Linked DNA regions of Alligator mississippiensis. The protein of the gene in region 2 binds, or shares a complex with, the protein of the main gene of each other region. Links are inferred from orthologs where the notes say so. Each region holds a gene or a part of one and is shown on either strand. Other genes may lie near its edges.

Evidence for each region.
Region 1: the proteins of ATP2B1 (region 2) and NPTN are in contact, whole or in part, in a cryo-EM structure (PDB 6A69), measured with the Homo sapiens proteins. The link is inferred for Alligator mississippiensis from reciprocal best matches to the Homo sapiens genes ATP2B1 and NPTN. Residues at the interface, in NP_001353449.1 of Homo sapiens: Phe954, Asp955, Ile956, Asp957, Glu996, Arg997, Asn998, Val999, Glu1039, Gln1040, Leu1042, Trp1043, Ile1045, Phe1046, Met1049, Gly1050, Leu1052, Leu1053, Gln1056; in NP_036560.1 of Homo sapiens: Arg245, Ser246, Asn248, Arg332, Arg334, Pro339, Pro342, Phe343, Gly345, Ile346, Glu349, Ile350, Ile352, Leu353, Ile356, Ile357, Tyr360.

The regions. Positions count from the first base shown.
Region 1 is NC_081834.1:43,561,642-43,569,339, forward strand, and holds the start of NPTN (neuroplastin), read left to right. Parts: upstream 1-4,661; 5' UTR 4,662-4,676; coding exon 4,677-5,163; intron 5,164-7,698. UniProt on the Homo sapiens protein: Probable homophilic and heterophilic cell adhesion molecule involved in long term potentiation at hippocampal excitatory synapses through activation of p38MAPK. May also regulate neurite outgrowth by activating the FGFR1 signaling pathway.
Region 2 is NC_081827.1:85,551,925-85,559,008, reverse strand, and holds the start of ATP2B1 (plasma membrane calcium-transporting ATPase 1), read left to right. Parts: upstream 1-4,059; 5' UTR 4,060-4,158; intron 4,159-4,312; exon of another isoform or gene 4,313-4,386; intron 4,387-4,841; exon of another isoform or gene 4,842-5,007; intron 5,008-5,125; exon of another isoform or gene 5,126-5,337; intron 5,338-5,382; exon of another isoform or gene 5,383-5,452; intron 5,453-7,084. UniProt on the Homo sapiens protein: Catalyzes the hydrolysis of ATP coupled with the transport of calcium from the cytoplasm to the extracellular space thereby maintaining intracellular calcium homeostasis.

The DNA of each region.
Region 1 (7,698 bases), on a different chromosome or scaffold from region 2:
CATGTGTGGTGTATGGAGTCACAGATGCATCTGTGGTGCCACATACCGCACATCCACTCATTTGGGTGTGGCCTGCCTGGTTAGTCTGTGAGATGCAAATCTACTCTGCCTTCAACAAAAGTACATTCAACTTTTAAAAGTTGAAAATAGCTATAAAGTTGAAATAAGGCAATTTTTAAGACTTAAGGAGATGTTGTCAAGATCAGTACTTCTGCAGTTTGGCCTACATACATTTCACGCTCCTGCCTGTTCACATATCTGTGTCTAGTCAACACTAAAGTGCTCTTTTAGTGGAGTGTATTTGTAGTGGCAAACCTTGAGTGTTAAGCTCCCGTGTGGCAGCAGGACCTCCCTTTCTGCTAGCAGTTGCACTTGCTCTTTCATTCCAAAGAAGGCTTTTGGTGCTGTCAAACAGACTCTGGAAGATACCTGTGGACAGTCCCAATCTTCTGCTTTAGCATTCGCTTCAGAACTCATGCCTTTCCAGGCTGCACTTTCCACTCTGCTGGGATGGTTATTGTGGTGGAGCCATGCAAATCTGCTAGAAGCTTATGAATGTGTACATGCGCCAGCAGGTTTCCTTGGCAGAGCTCTTGCCAGCAGAATCTGCTAAGTTTAGACAGGGCCTAAAACGCAATTGTTCTTTTGCAATTTTTAAAGCACATCGTTGTTCTTTAGCATCTCTACTTCCCGAATACTTATTCTTCTCCAGATTGCTGCAGTACCAAACTTAGAGATGCACACAATGAGCACCTTCAGACGTTTGTGGATATTTGGTTCCTTGGGGACAACTAGCGGCAGTGCATCTTGTGCCTGGGGAACAGTTGTGCTATGTGCGCTCAGGTGCGTGGCAGGTTACACAATAAATGTCCCCAGCAGCCTTACCTAGGGCTCTAGGGGCCTCCCCAGCAGCCTTACCTGAGGTCCTGTGCTGGCCCCAGCAGCCTTACCTGGGGTCCTCCCAGGGCTGCAGCAATGGCAATCCTGCTGTGTGGAGCCTGGTTGGCAGTGGAGTGTGGCTCCAACTAGTCAGGCTCTGGATTTGGGCAGCGCACGCTGCTGCCACATGCACTGCCCTGCTTTTTTTTTAACATAGGTTTTAATTTTTATTCATGGATATCTAGGGGTCAAAAAAAACCCTTGATGCTGCTCCCTTCCAGTGCAAAGAACAAAAAGTGCAGTATGTGGCACCGCAGATGTGTCTGCGGTGCCACATACTGCACAGCTGCGCTTGTCTGGATTTGGCAAATAAGGGCAAATCAAATAAGAACTCTTGGGCTCTTTTATAAGCAGTGATATCTGTACAGTGTCTGTTGCTATTGACTTGATTTTGTGCAATATGGTGAACCCTGGCAGAACTACCAAACAGCAGGGATTCTTCAGATCTGTTTCCAGAGATTTGTTGCATTATGGAAAGCATCCAGTTTTAATGTTTGTTCCTTTTTCGTATACTCTATTTGGTTCTGGCTGATTTCAGCTCTGCTTTTAGCTTCTCTCTGGAAGTCTTTAGCAAAAAGGGCCCTCTGGCAGCTGCAGAGTACCTGAAAGTATTGTTCCCAACTGACTAATGCTGTTTGATGTATTTTGCAGTTGCTATAACTAATGAAAATACAAATCTCATAAATCAGTGTTTTGTATGGCAAGCATCTGCCACACAGTTAGTCATTTGCTATGAAAATGAATTAGTTAGCTTTGCCAGAATGTTTAAACAAATCTCCACCTTCTTAGCAGTTGTTCCAGGGTTTTACCCTTAGGTGCAAGTAGCTTTCTAAACCCCAGTTATCCAGTATGGTACGAAGAGGACTTTATTGTCTCTGATTCTAAGTTTCTTGAGTTGCTGCCAGTCTTTTTGCATCCCAGATTCTTCCTCACCTATAGACTGAGCATAATGTTTCTAGTCTCGTGGTTGGTTATTTGTCAGCTAAGCAAGCTCGATTTGAGAGAGTGACCGTAAATATAGAGCATTATTGTAGGCTGCTGCAGTAGCTGTTCAAGATCCTGGCTGGCATTGCTTTGCACTGTGTTTTTGAGGTTGCCTTCTTGACTGTCAGCATTTCAATATGGCTCATAACAGGATTTTGACCTTTTAGAATGAGACCATCTTCTGCACTGTTTCTCTAGACAGGTGTCATCCTCCATTTATTTGACTGCAAATACAATAGCATGTCTGTATTATAGAGCTGTGGAATAGTTTGGATTTCACCTCCCTTATAAAAGTAGACCCTAAGATAGATGTAAAAAGAAGCTAGATTTGCTCATGACTTACTGCTTAGGCTTTCACATTGAAAAATCTAGGTTCAAATGGGTTTGGGTCTTATACATGAATTTGTACAGGAGGGGAATCTCTCTCTAGGTTCTTCCCTACCCAGCACAGCATTCTTAAAATTTGTCCATGGGACAGTATGACAAATCATGTTCATAACTTTACTTCTGTTGTTGGCAACGGAAGCAGTATGAAACCAGTGTGATCCATATATTAGTCACATTGCTGGGAAGCACTGTGCAGGAGCAGCAGTCTAAATAGGCTCTTCAGCTACTACTAATTGGCGGTATTTTATGGAATAGAAGACAAACTAGTTTCTCTTGTGTCCTTCCATCAGCAGGGGGTTACTTTTGACCTTCTGTCTCTCTTGAGTTAACCTTTTCCCTTTTAATATTAATTGGATACAGGGAAAGAATGAAATGGTTGATGAGGCTAATCTTTGCATCAGAAGTAAAACTAGTTTTAATATTAATTTTGATTTTGTAAGGAGCAGTTGTTTGCCTAATACACGTTTCCCTTGCCAACCGCTGGGGTTAGGTTCCTGAAAGTTCCTGTTTTTGGCAAAACTGTGGTTGGCAAGACAAAAGACTTATGGGAAAAATGGCAGGTGGTGGGCTATTGCATGGCCATGGAAAACCGTGGTTACTCAAACTGTATACTGTGGTGGCCAGAATGGTAGATAAAATATTACATGTGAATACTCAAAATCATGGTTGGCAAGGGAACCTGTAGTCATAGTCTGTAGCCATTGCTCATAGCATACTTCAGCTTCCAGTGATTGCTATGGATGGATCAGCATTGGGACAGCAACAGGAGACTTGACCCTAACTGACTTTGCCTTGTGCTTTCTAGCAAGAACAGAAAATGCTTTGCTAATCTTAAGTGACATTTATGGTATAGCATTGGCTTTCTAGTATGTGCAGTTCACTCTTGAATTTTATTTTACACCGGTATCAGTAACCTGTTGAGTAGCAGAAAAAAGACAGCCTTGGAGCTGTTAAAATAAGGGGGTGTGGGTCAATAGTTGGAAAGAAATCTTCTTTGCAAGCTTTTGGGCACAAACACCCTTCCTCAGGCTATTCATTCCATCCAGGAAGAGCACACACAAACTGCAGATACTTCCTCAGCCTGACAAAGGGTGTTTGTGCCCAAAAGCTTGCAAAGAAGAAGATTTTTTTCTCCAACTAATTGAGTTGGTCTAATACAAGATACCAGATTTACCCAAAGAACCTTGTCTGTCTTGTCAGTATGCATTGAAAGCTTTACAGAATGAGTGTCTTGCTCTTTGCTTTCCCTTCCACTTAAAACCAAAATCCGTTGTTTTCTCTTCTTCATCACTTCTGAAAACAGCTCTTTTTGTTGGGGGAAGAGGGGGATAGTGTATTTGATTTACTTTTATCAGTAGTGGAGGCCAGACGGTGACACTAAGTCCTACATGCTGTGCTGCTGTTGATCCCTGGTGCCTGAAGAGAATTTAGCATGGCAATATGACGGGTTTTGCTGCATAATCTAGTTGGCCAGCTGCATTCTAAATCTTTCAGTACACAAAAGACTGGCTTTTAAAGCAGCATTATTTTTGGTGGGTCACTTGCAAAATATGATTTGAAGGACAATTTAGAACAAAATCAAGTGCACTGATGTAGGAATGCTGGTAAATAGAGAAGTTGATCACAAAAAGATTCCATGAACCTCGTACTCAATTGTAATCATGTAAGCTTTTTAACCTTTTCTTTTCTTTTTTTTTTAAAGATATATTACCTGTCTTTTTAGTATAGTTAATTACTGGATGCTGTTGTTTTCTCAATTAGTGAAACAGGTTTGTCCTGTATGACGGATTTTATTCTCACATACGTTAGACTGTTTGTGAGACTCTACTCCTTCAGCTGCAGTGAACGAACTACTGCAGGAAAGAAGGTAATTTATATCTTAGGGAATTCCCTGCCTCCTAAGTTCAGAATAGATGGAAGAAAAGATCAAAGTAGAGTTTATGGTAGAGTGCTGCATAGGGCAGAAGTTTTGATGTTTCTTCTGTGCTTGATTTTAAATCAGAAAACTGTTCAATGCAAAAAGGCTGAAAATGGACAGAAGTTTTTTAGATGCTTTAACACTGGATAAATTTAAATAGTTCAAGCAGGTTAAAAATATAACTTGCAGTCTCTCTTCTCATAGCTCTTAGCTGTCATGTCATTGCTTTCCAGTTCTGAAGGGTTGGTGTGTGTTTACAGCATTAGGCTTGCCTTTTCCAGCCTCCCATAATCCACTTTGCCACTCCAGAGATCCCATCATAAAATGCTTATCTTGATGGCCCGTCTCCCAAGAACCCTTCCTTGAAAGGGCATGCTGTGCTACCACAATTAAAACTAACAAGTCTTCCGTTGCAAGCGCTGTGTGTTCTGTTCTTTCTATAAAAATCATGTTAACGGCTGTTACTGTAGATACTAATGTCTTATCTAATCCTTTGTCTGTTTTCTGCAACTCATTTGCTTTGTTCTTTATAAGATCTGTTATCTTCTGCTGGTCTGTCACTGCATTTCTGCTGCCCCTCCCTCTAGCTGGGTTTGTCAAGTCGCCCATGTCAGAAACTAAACTCACGGGGGACGCCTTTGAGCTGTACTGTGACGTGGTTGGGAACCCCACTCCAGAGATCCAGTGGTGGTATGCTGAAGTCAACCGGGCTGAATCTTTCAAACAGCTGTGGGATGGCGCTCGGAAGCGCCGTGTCACCATTAACACTGCCTACGGGGCGAATGGGGTGAGTGTGCTGAGAATAACCCGCCTTACCTTGGAAGACTCTGGGACTTACGAGTGCAGGGCCAGCAACGATCCCAGGAGGAATGACTTGAGGCAAAATCCCTCCATAACGTGGATTCGAGCCCAGGCTACCATAAGCGTCCTTCAGAGTGAGTTCAGCACCCTACAGTAGTAGTACTGTAGTAACTAGAGGCAGTCCAGTGACCCTTCTCCTTCCTCCCCCTCCCATGACCCTTGATATAACCACCTGTTGTCTTGTTTTCTGAACCCAAGACTGTTCTTCCAGTTGTAGTGCTTAAGTGTCTGCCATCTTTGTTCTGTGCCTCTCTCCTCCCTAGGATCAAAGGACTTGGGAAAAAATCTGTGGAACTGTACTAGATCTGCTATGTGAAAACAAGCCCAGTGTCGAATTTTTGTTTCTCCCCTTCCCCTTTACTTTTGTAATAGGCTTCCAGCCATCCTATTGCTGGCTTCTTCATGAGTGCCTTTCTATTTTGGTTTGTACTCTTCCCTGATCTAACTTTTTTTTTTTTTTCTTCCACTTTCTTGGGATTTCTCTGAATGCTTTTCTTGCTTGTATCATTTTGAGTACATAAACATCTGTACAAAGCCTTCCCTTTTAGTTTGTGGTTGTTGTTACATGTGAACTTTAAAGGCTGGATTTTTCCATAAAGACATGAAGCTTTTATTTTCTAAACAGCAGCATGTAGCTTAATGGATTCTCTGATGCAGCAGCACCTTACTGATGCAGCTCTTCTGTGGTGTGAAAGCAAATGACACAGAGTAAGGGCATGTTATCAAGCTGATGTTCATGAGCTTTAGTCAAATGATTCCCCACTGAGAATATAATCTCCCTTTTTAAATTCTTAAGGCAGAGGGTACAATTGTTTATAGCCGTTCATTCCCCTCTGAGTCAGTGTGCTGTATACATTCTGCTGGCTTCACTTCGAGCTTCCAGCCAAGTTCGGGTCTCATTTTCTGAACATGCACACACACGCTCTTTATTTGCATAGAGAGAATACTGCTTGATCTCTGAGACTTAATGGTCGGTGTACAGTTTGCATCATATTCACAATGGAGTACATGCAGAGACAATTAAACTGGAAAATGAAAATGAAGAGCAGAAGGTAAAGGAGAGTGTGTTGTATTGATGTAAATGTTTTAGTGCCTGGAGACTGAGTAGCAGAGAATACATGTTTTCAAAATTGTTCTGGGTATTTGTACAGATAAACCAAAATGCCACAGAACCATTGTCTAGTTACAACATGCCTCTTCAGCTTCACATTCAGTAGCCCAATATAAAGCCTCAGTGACATCCATTGAATATATGTGGTTGTATCTAAAGTACTCCATGCTCATAAACATCTGGTAATTTAGTGTTAATTTAGTATGCTCAGGAAAGATAATTTTGAAGTGCCTCAGCATTACAGGAAGGTGCTACAAGATGATGGGTGTGCAGGAAGAGAAAATGGATGACGTGCTGCAGTCAGTACTGTTGGATCAGAGAACCTTGCACTGGAAAATGGAAAGAACATGGATATATGTGGAAAAATAACAGAGAGAGAACCCAATGTCATGGATTTATTTAAAAACAAAAAAACATTGGATTGTTCAGCTTCCACTCCTAGTACTTGACCCCTCCCTAGACCTTCGAGGTCACAAAGGACTCTCACCTTAAGTTAACTCATATCAGTTACAGCAATAAGAGTCTCTTAATTTCAGGGAACACTATTCCCTCAAGACAAAACTAAACTAAATTGTCTTGCAGCAAGTTTAACTTCTCTGGAAGTCTGTTTCCTTTCTAATATGACTCCAGCTTCTACTGCCCATGACAGTCTATTTTGTTTCCTTTTACTTCTTGCCTACCCACTCTTTTGAGTGGCCTATTGGTCTCGTCAAATGAAAAAAAAAATTGCATGCATTTGAGGGTGAGTCCTTATGAAAATGCCTTCCTGCTCCATTAGGAAATGCTTCCTATAGCCCTCAAACATAACTGAAACTTTCCTATTTTGGGAAAAACTTTCCTGTTGGCCTGTTCTCACACCTGCATCCAGTGTTACCTAATTCTTGAATGTATAACATGAATTTGTTGCCAAGTGCCTTGTATTTTTGTTTCACATTGGTAAGTTCAGTGTTTGTTTTCTCAGAGCACAACATACATTTTAACCAACTCTACTGCGCGCATAAAGGAGGTTGATCTATGGTTTGTGAGAAACAGGACTCTCAAACCTTTAACCTGCAGGTAATGGTACACTAAAATGAGGAAGGCTGTTTATGGAAGCACAAGCAGTAACGGGAAGGCAGAAGTCCAAGGTCTGAAACCAGCCCAGGACACTTAAGCTGTCAAGAAATTTGCTGAGTAGAAGCTGCCATGTAACTTCATGGAGTGCTGTTGCTTATACCATATAAACTAGGCTGTATATGAAATGAAAGCTTGGGGTTCAGTGGTGTTGAAGTCTCCTGCTGAAGAGGGTCATGATTGCTGACCTCATTTGATACCAACATGTTGGGATGTCAAAGGAAACAAAAGATCACAGCCTGCTTTAATTTAATTGCTAGCGCAGGTTCAGTGCTTAATTTCAAAGCATAATGTAGGGGTGGGGGGAGGGAGAAGCACCGAGTATTGGTTTTAAATTGTAGAACTAGTCTTGGTTCCAACCAAACATTATGTTTTCCATGCTCTT
Region 2 (7,084 bases):
CAGTTGGGGCTCATCTCGTAGCCTCTGGCTCCTCTCATGGCCTGGTGTCCCACCCCACTAATTTGCTGCACAGTAAAGCATCACCATCTACATGTGCATGGCAAATACGGCACAGTAGATTAATTTACTGAACTGCCAGACAGTCCCATGAGATACAAGTGATGTCTGGCAGTGCAGTAGATTACTATGCTTAAACACATGTAGACGGTGACATTGGGATTAGTTTACTCCAACTCCAGCTCAAGCTGAACAGGAGTATATTCAGTTGCATCAATTGCACGTGTAGATGTGCCTAGTTTGTACATTCTTTGCAAACAAACATTATTAAACCAAAGATTACTCAGTCATGCTTCTTTTCCCAGTGGAAGGAACCTACAGAGCCACAAGTTTGTGTTAATTGTGTGGGCTAAAAAGGATAACAATGCACATTTTTTACCAAAAACAACATCGAATCAGAGAAGCCAGCAGAGGAGAAAAACAGAGAAGAAAAGCAAAGAAGATGTAAAGTACAGGAAATTAAAGGACCAAAACAGAACAAAACTAGAGCTCGGGGAAACATTCTAGAAATCAATTCTTCAGTTAATTTTGTATTTCAAATTTAAAAAAATGGATAATTGATTGTAAACGTTTTGTGGAAAGGTATTATCCCATGTCAAATTAAAAAGCTGAATATTTTTACAGAGGATGCTAGTAGTGAAAGGCATACCCAATTTCCAAAGGTGAAACAAGGGAATTATAAGTAGCTAGAGGCTTCTTGGAAAATTACTCTAAAAGATAACTTCAGCCAGCTTTACAGAAAGAAAAGGACTCTTGTCTAGAATGATGTTTGAATAGCAGGCAAGAATATGTTGGACTGAGTTGAGAAAATCAACTGAACTGGCATAAAATGAATGTCACTGCTTCCTCTGTGCACTATGTGAATCAGTGTAGGCAAAACATTTACAAGACTTTGAATTTAATGTAGTTGGTTGGGGAACGTCTGAAAATTCGTAGCCTCTTTAGGCAAATTTTAGCTCGATGTCCACAAGCAAAAATGCTCCTGACGTTTCACAAACTGTCCTAATACTTACAGTTGCACCAAGTTCAACAAAGTCTTGTTCACACTTATTTGTGTTGTGGCCCAGTTTCAATTTTCTCAGTAGCAGCAAGAACTTAAAAAAAATATGTCTGCACTGGTTTGCTTTGTACCCAGGGTCTTAGAAAGTTCCTTCTTGGACCATTCTAGAGCAGGGTTCTCTGCTCTCTGTGTTCCCAATTTGGAGAAATTACTGGAAAATCAATTATCCAGTAAGCCCTCCAGTAATTATCCAGCAAGTCCTCCAGTTCTTATGAAATACTAAGCTGGGTACCCATAAACTGAGGTCCCTAGAATCACTGATCACTTTAATAATTTTTGGCCCAAATGTTGTACAAGCATTCCAGGTGTTTAAATGCATGTGGAAATGCTGATACAGCTGTGGGAACCTTGGAAATTCATCTGACTTCTCTGCACAACACTTTCTCCATTTGTAAAAAGGTGTGACACCTAGACCCTAATAGTGTTGTACACAAAGTTAATTTACTACAACCAATCAATTTGTCAAAACTGTCTGCAGACCAATGTGTATTCTCTTGATAGTCATTTTTCCTAACTGTTAATGTTTGTAGAAGTATGCCTTTGTGCATGGAGAATTTAAGGTTTGTGACCTAAATGAGACGATATGTTTTTGTTACCCTATCAGAAATGCTAACCTTTGGAAAGAGGAATGTCTTACAAAATCTTTTGTGAAATCAAGTCTGTCGGGAAAATAGTAGAGAACACTCTAGTTCTGAAAATTAATTTCTGAAGCATTTTGAAAACCTCTCAGAGAAGTAGCTGTGGAAATTAACTTTTTATTTCCACCTTTTTTTGTTGCATACTTTTACATTGTTCTGGGATGCAACTGTAGAATGAATGTTAACACTGCAATAACTGTAACAGTGACAGCCTAATATTTTGTCTGTTTGTGAAAAATGTATCCAATCTTACGGCCTCCCTCACTACAGTATCCAAGCACCTCACAAGAATTAAGTCTCATCATCCCTTTAAGATGTGGAAATATAATTATTCCCATTTTATGAATAGAAAACAGAAGCCCAGCAGGACTGGCTGACCTTCTCAAGGTCACACAAGAAATCTGTGGCAGATCCAGAAATGAATGAGACCCTTGTGCCTTAACCAGAAGCTCACCCTTTCTTGGCTCTACCAAAGCTAATTTTGTCTTCCTAAGAGCCATGACAGAAGTGTGCAGAACACATCTGTCAGTCTCATAAAGCTGTATTCAGAAATGAAATTTTCAAGTGTCTGGGGAAGTCTAGCTAAGCCACAATGCATCAGTGCAGCTGAGGATACTGAGTTGCAGTGAGAGAATTTCTTCTGGTGTATGTGGTTAGAGATTTTATTTTCTTCTGGGAAGAAAGTCAAGAAAGATTCTTGATCAACTACTCTGCAAGATTTGTGTTTCATTGTTCTGATTTCTCAAATGACCTCCAGGTATGTGGGGTAAGGTAATATTTTTTGCTGGCATTCAAAATGGGCAGGAGCCAATTACTGTTAGCATTTATTTTTTGATTGTTTCACTTGAATGAGGAGAAAGATGAAAGAGATTCAGGTGAGAAAAGAGGAAGCTACAATGAGGCACAAGCAAGCAGTGATGATAAGGTAGTCAGAATGATTTATTTATCTGCTGGGGCTCCTAGACTGGTTTATACTGACTTCACTGTGTTGCCTTAACCCTCTAGGCTCAGTTACTTGCCTCAGGCTCATGCTCTGAGTGTTATACCAGCTTCCCTATGTCTTTACAGTGCTGGCTTTAACAGTTCTGGGACTTGAGCACCAACAATGGCAAGGCGGGGTATTTATGATGGGCTGAGGGCCTGGAGCACAGCTGGCCATCCGTTCCAATGAAGTGCCTTCCTGAGTAGACACGCTTGTGTCAAAAACAAGACTTCCAAGGACCAAACCAAGAGCATCCAGCACAGTTGTGCCTTACAGCTGGCAGTTTCTCACCAAAACAGGGCTGATCCGTGTCAGAAATGGGAGTGGGAACCAGCACTTCTGCACTGTGTTCTCAACCCTTGGGTGCCACAACCGCCACTGACAAACGGTTCAGGCCTAAAGGGTGGGGGCCTGCCTTTGCCTTCACAGAAAATGAGGGCTAGCAATGACGTCAGTAGGTCTAGTCCATCGTTTCTCAACCTAACCCAAAAGTGGGTCGTGAGAATATATGCAAGGGTTGTGAACAAACTTAAAAAATGGATCCTTTGAAGGAGAAAAACACGGGAAACTGGGTTCCCCCTTGCTGGCTGGCAGAGCTCCAGCCTGCCAGGGGCTGCTTGGGCCCCCGTGACCCTCACAGCAGGGGCAACAGATTGGGAGCGAGGGACCGGACATTAAATTTACAAAAGGGTCCTAGTACAAAAAAGGTTGACACCCGCTGCTCTAGTCCAACCGCTGCTGACAACAGGGCCATCCCCAGCCCTATCACCCCCGCCAGGGCTTTGTCTAGCCGGGTCTTCACAACCTCTGAGGTTGGCGATTCCCCCTCCCGCAGGCAGGGGCTGAACACCTGCAGTTTCTCGTGGGGCCGGGCCTTCACCCCAGCCTCCCGCCCCGCTGGGGTCCCCCGCCCGCTCACAGGCGAGGCCGGGCCCGGGAGGGCGGCGCTCCCGACACGCGCGCGGGCTCCCGGGCAGGCGGCGACACGAAGCCCGCGCGGCCGCAGCCCCCCCCCGCACTGCAGCACCACGCCGGCGCCCAGCGAGTCCCCGCCCCCCCCCGCCGCGCGCGGCCGGGCCGGGCCGGGGCCCGGGCCCCTCAGAGCCGGGCCCCGCGGGGGAGGGGCGGGGCAGCGCCCCCCGCTCCTGGCAAAGTCAGCGCGCGCGAACCCGCCGGGCCCCATCAAACGCCTAGGCCCGCCCCCCGCGTCATGGAAACAAGCACGTCAGAGGGCGCAGCCAATGGGAGAGCGCGGCAGGGGGCGGGGCCCCGCCCGCTCGGCGCCGGTGCCAATCACAGGCCCCGCCCCCGCCCCCCCATTGAAGGCGGTGCGCAGCGCTCCCCGCCGCCTTCCTGCCTGCGAGTCGGGTCTGTCACGTGAGCGCGGCTGGGGCCCGCTGGCGGTTGCGGCCCGGCGGCAGGTGAGTGCGGGCGGGGGTGCTGTGGGCGTCGTGAGGAGCCGCCGGGCGTGGGGCGGGGCGGGGCGGGGCGGGGCGAGGCGAGGGGAGCCCGCCCCTGCGTGTGTCCCCTCCCCTGCGCGCAGGGCGCCGCTTCCCTCCGGCGGGCGGCGCGGCGCGGGGCGGGGCGGGGCGGGCAGCGCCGGGACTGGCGGTCGGGCCGGCGGCTCCTTGCAGCGGGGCTGCACCGAGGTAAGGTGCTGCGGCCCCCCGCTCCTCTCCCCTCCCCCTATCCTGGCGCGGGGCCGCGCCGGCAGGTGCCCGGGGAGGCCCCGTGCAGTGCGCACCTGGCGGCCGTGACCTTGAGGGGAGCCGCTGCGGGGGCCGCAGGCGGCTTCATTTCCTCTCCCCCCCCCCCGGGTAGGAGGCGCCGGGCGCCCCTCGGGCAGCCCGGAGATGCAGGTGGCTCCGGGCCCCTGCCGGGTTAAATCGCCGGGATTAGGCGGCGGCTGCTGCGCGGCATCCTCCCCTGCAGGCGGCGAGGAAGGGAGCCGGTCGCCCCCCGCCGGGCTGCGTCGGGAGCCGAAGCCGCAGCTGGTGGCGGAGGGTGTCTCCTCGCCCGCGTGCGTGCGTGCGTCCCTCCCTCCCCGCGCTCCGCCTCGCGCCGCTTTATCCCGGGGCGGGGTGCGCTCCCCCGGGCCTGCGGTGCCCCCGGGATGGGGCGAGGGCCGCCGCAGGCGTCGGCAGCAGCTCCTGGAAGCCGGTGGCGGCGGGCTGGCCCCGCTGCAGAGCAGGAAGCGTCTCCCGCCCTGGCCGTGCTGACACTGTCACTCTCCGCCAGACGGGGTGTGTAACCTTTGGATGCTGCACCACGTGAGTTGCTGGAGAGGCCTGAGTGCGGGGGGCCTCCGAGCGCTAACAGTTGCCCGAGGGAGCGCTGGCTGCTGGTGCGCTAGGGAGCGATTGCGCCTGCAAGGGTGGGGGAAGCATCCAGAAGATGGTGACTGCGGGAATACCTCTGCTGTTGCCTGCCTTTGCTGTTCAAAGAGCAGTTTTCTTTTCCCCGCCAGTGTCAGAGCCCAGAAACCGGAGGAGCTTCTGTTAGCTTTTTGGGAAGAAGGCTTCTCCTCAGAAATCCAGTCTGCAGTGCTTGTGCTCACGATCTTGGGAGGCATTTCATTTAGCGCGGTATTCGCTAGCAACGTAAGTGGCTGCTGTTGAGCTAACAAGAAGCATCTGCTTTAATTTTTCCGAAGCTAGAAGATTTATGGTTAAGTGGCGCTAGTCTCCCATGGCATTCATCTGACTAGCTGTTGAGGTAAATGACATTCATAGCAGGGAATGAGTCTTGAGGATAATGTTCCAGTTACTCCTTCACCTGGTTTCATTGCTTCAGTTTAATTTTTTGTAAACTTGTGAAGAGGAATAAGGCGTACCATAAGTCTTCTTTGAAGGATCTCTTCTGGGGCCGAAGGATGATTATTTGAGGTGATGCTAGAGTTCCCTGGCACTGACCTTTTGTGTCCTGCCTTCAATATGCAACTTGATTTTGAGCTTTCTTAAGTGCTGCTGGAAATTTTTAAAAGCTTAATTGTTTCCTTTTCATAAAAATGCATGATCTGTAGTCCAAAGCTCCTATGATTTCAGTGTGGGAGGGAGAAATAAATGTATTTGGCTTAAAGTAATGAATTTGCAGGATTCAGTTAGGAAGTTGAAGTGATGCCCCTTAGAGCTATAAAACATAGCTTAAGACTTGGAAGTGTAAGCAAAGTATACCCTTGGTGTAAAGAGTAGTATCTTCCATTAATATTGTGTTGTATGAAGGAGCATGGCATTGCAAATCTTTGGGGAGGAAGGGGGCATTGCTGTATATGTTTAAAGTGTTACAGGTATGAAGTGGGTTTAAGGAGGCTCTTTTTAAAATGGCTTCTGACTTGAAAAATACCTTGACAGGTTGACTTGAATTTTTTTTTTTTTTTTTTTTGCTTGTTTAGCTTACTACCATCTTTAATTTACACTAGCTATATAATAAGGCCATTACATTTTGAACTGGCATTGTAGCTTTTAAGCTCTTGAGGAACTCATTCCAGGGACCACAAATGCAGCCTTTTAACTAAAGTAAATTTGAGTATCTTAAAGCATTGACTTTGCTGTTAGAAATAGCTTCCAGTGTACTAGAACTTAAATCCTTGGGGCATAATGAATGGAAACTTGTTTAGTGTGCAAATGGAAAAGTGGTCACTGAATAGTTCAGTAAAAAATAATTAAACCTTTTTAAAATGTCAAATTGCAGATCTGGACTGGCATGGGGGGGGGGGTGGTTCTTGCTCGCCTCCTGCTCCTTTCTTTCTACTGTGGTGGTGACTTTGAGGCTTTTAGCTTGAGTAGTCTGTGTCCAAGCTACTGTTGGCATGGATGAAAGCACTTGGAATTGCCCCCACCCCACCAGTACTGCCACCTTGATAGTCTGAACTACAATGTTCACAGTAATGAAAATCCTACTGAGCATGAAATATCAGTCATTCTCTTCTGTGGATGCCTGGGATTACAAACTGAATACTCGCTTCTAATGGGTGGGAATCCTGAGCTATGGTCGTGTCTTGTTTTGCAGGGACTTGTGTAAGGCATCTAGAGCTGACATTTTCTAACTTTGGATGATTTAACTTTTAAAGCAGATTGGTCTAATGTCACTGTCTTTGTATTTTCTGTGTAACTAAAAGATGTCTTAAGCTTCTAAAATTCTTTAAGACTCTCTTAAGTTATGGGGGAAATTATATACAGATGAATAACTTTTTTAGAAAACTTCTAAGCTTGGAATGGAGATTTTGGTGTGTGTTTGTCTTTTTTGTGGGAACTGCTGGATGCTGTCAGAATCGGTTCAAAATGGAGTAGGCATTTTTCCATAGGTGGATGGACAAGATTATGTAAAATTGTTTCTAACTATTATTTC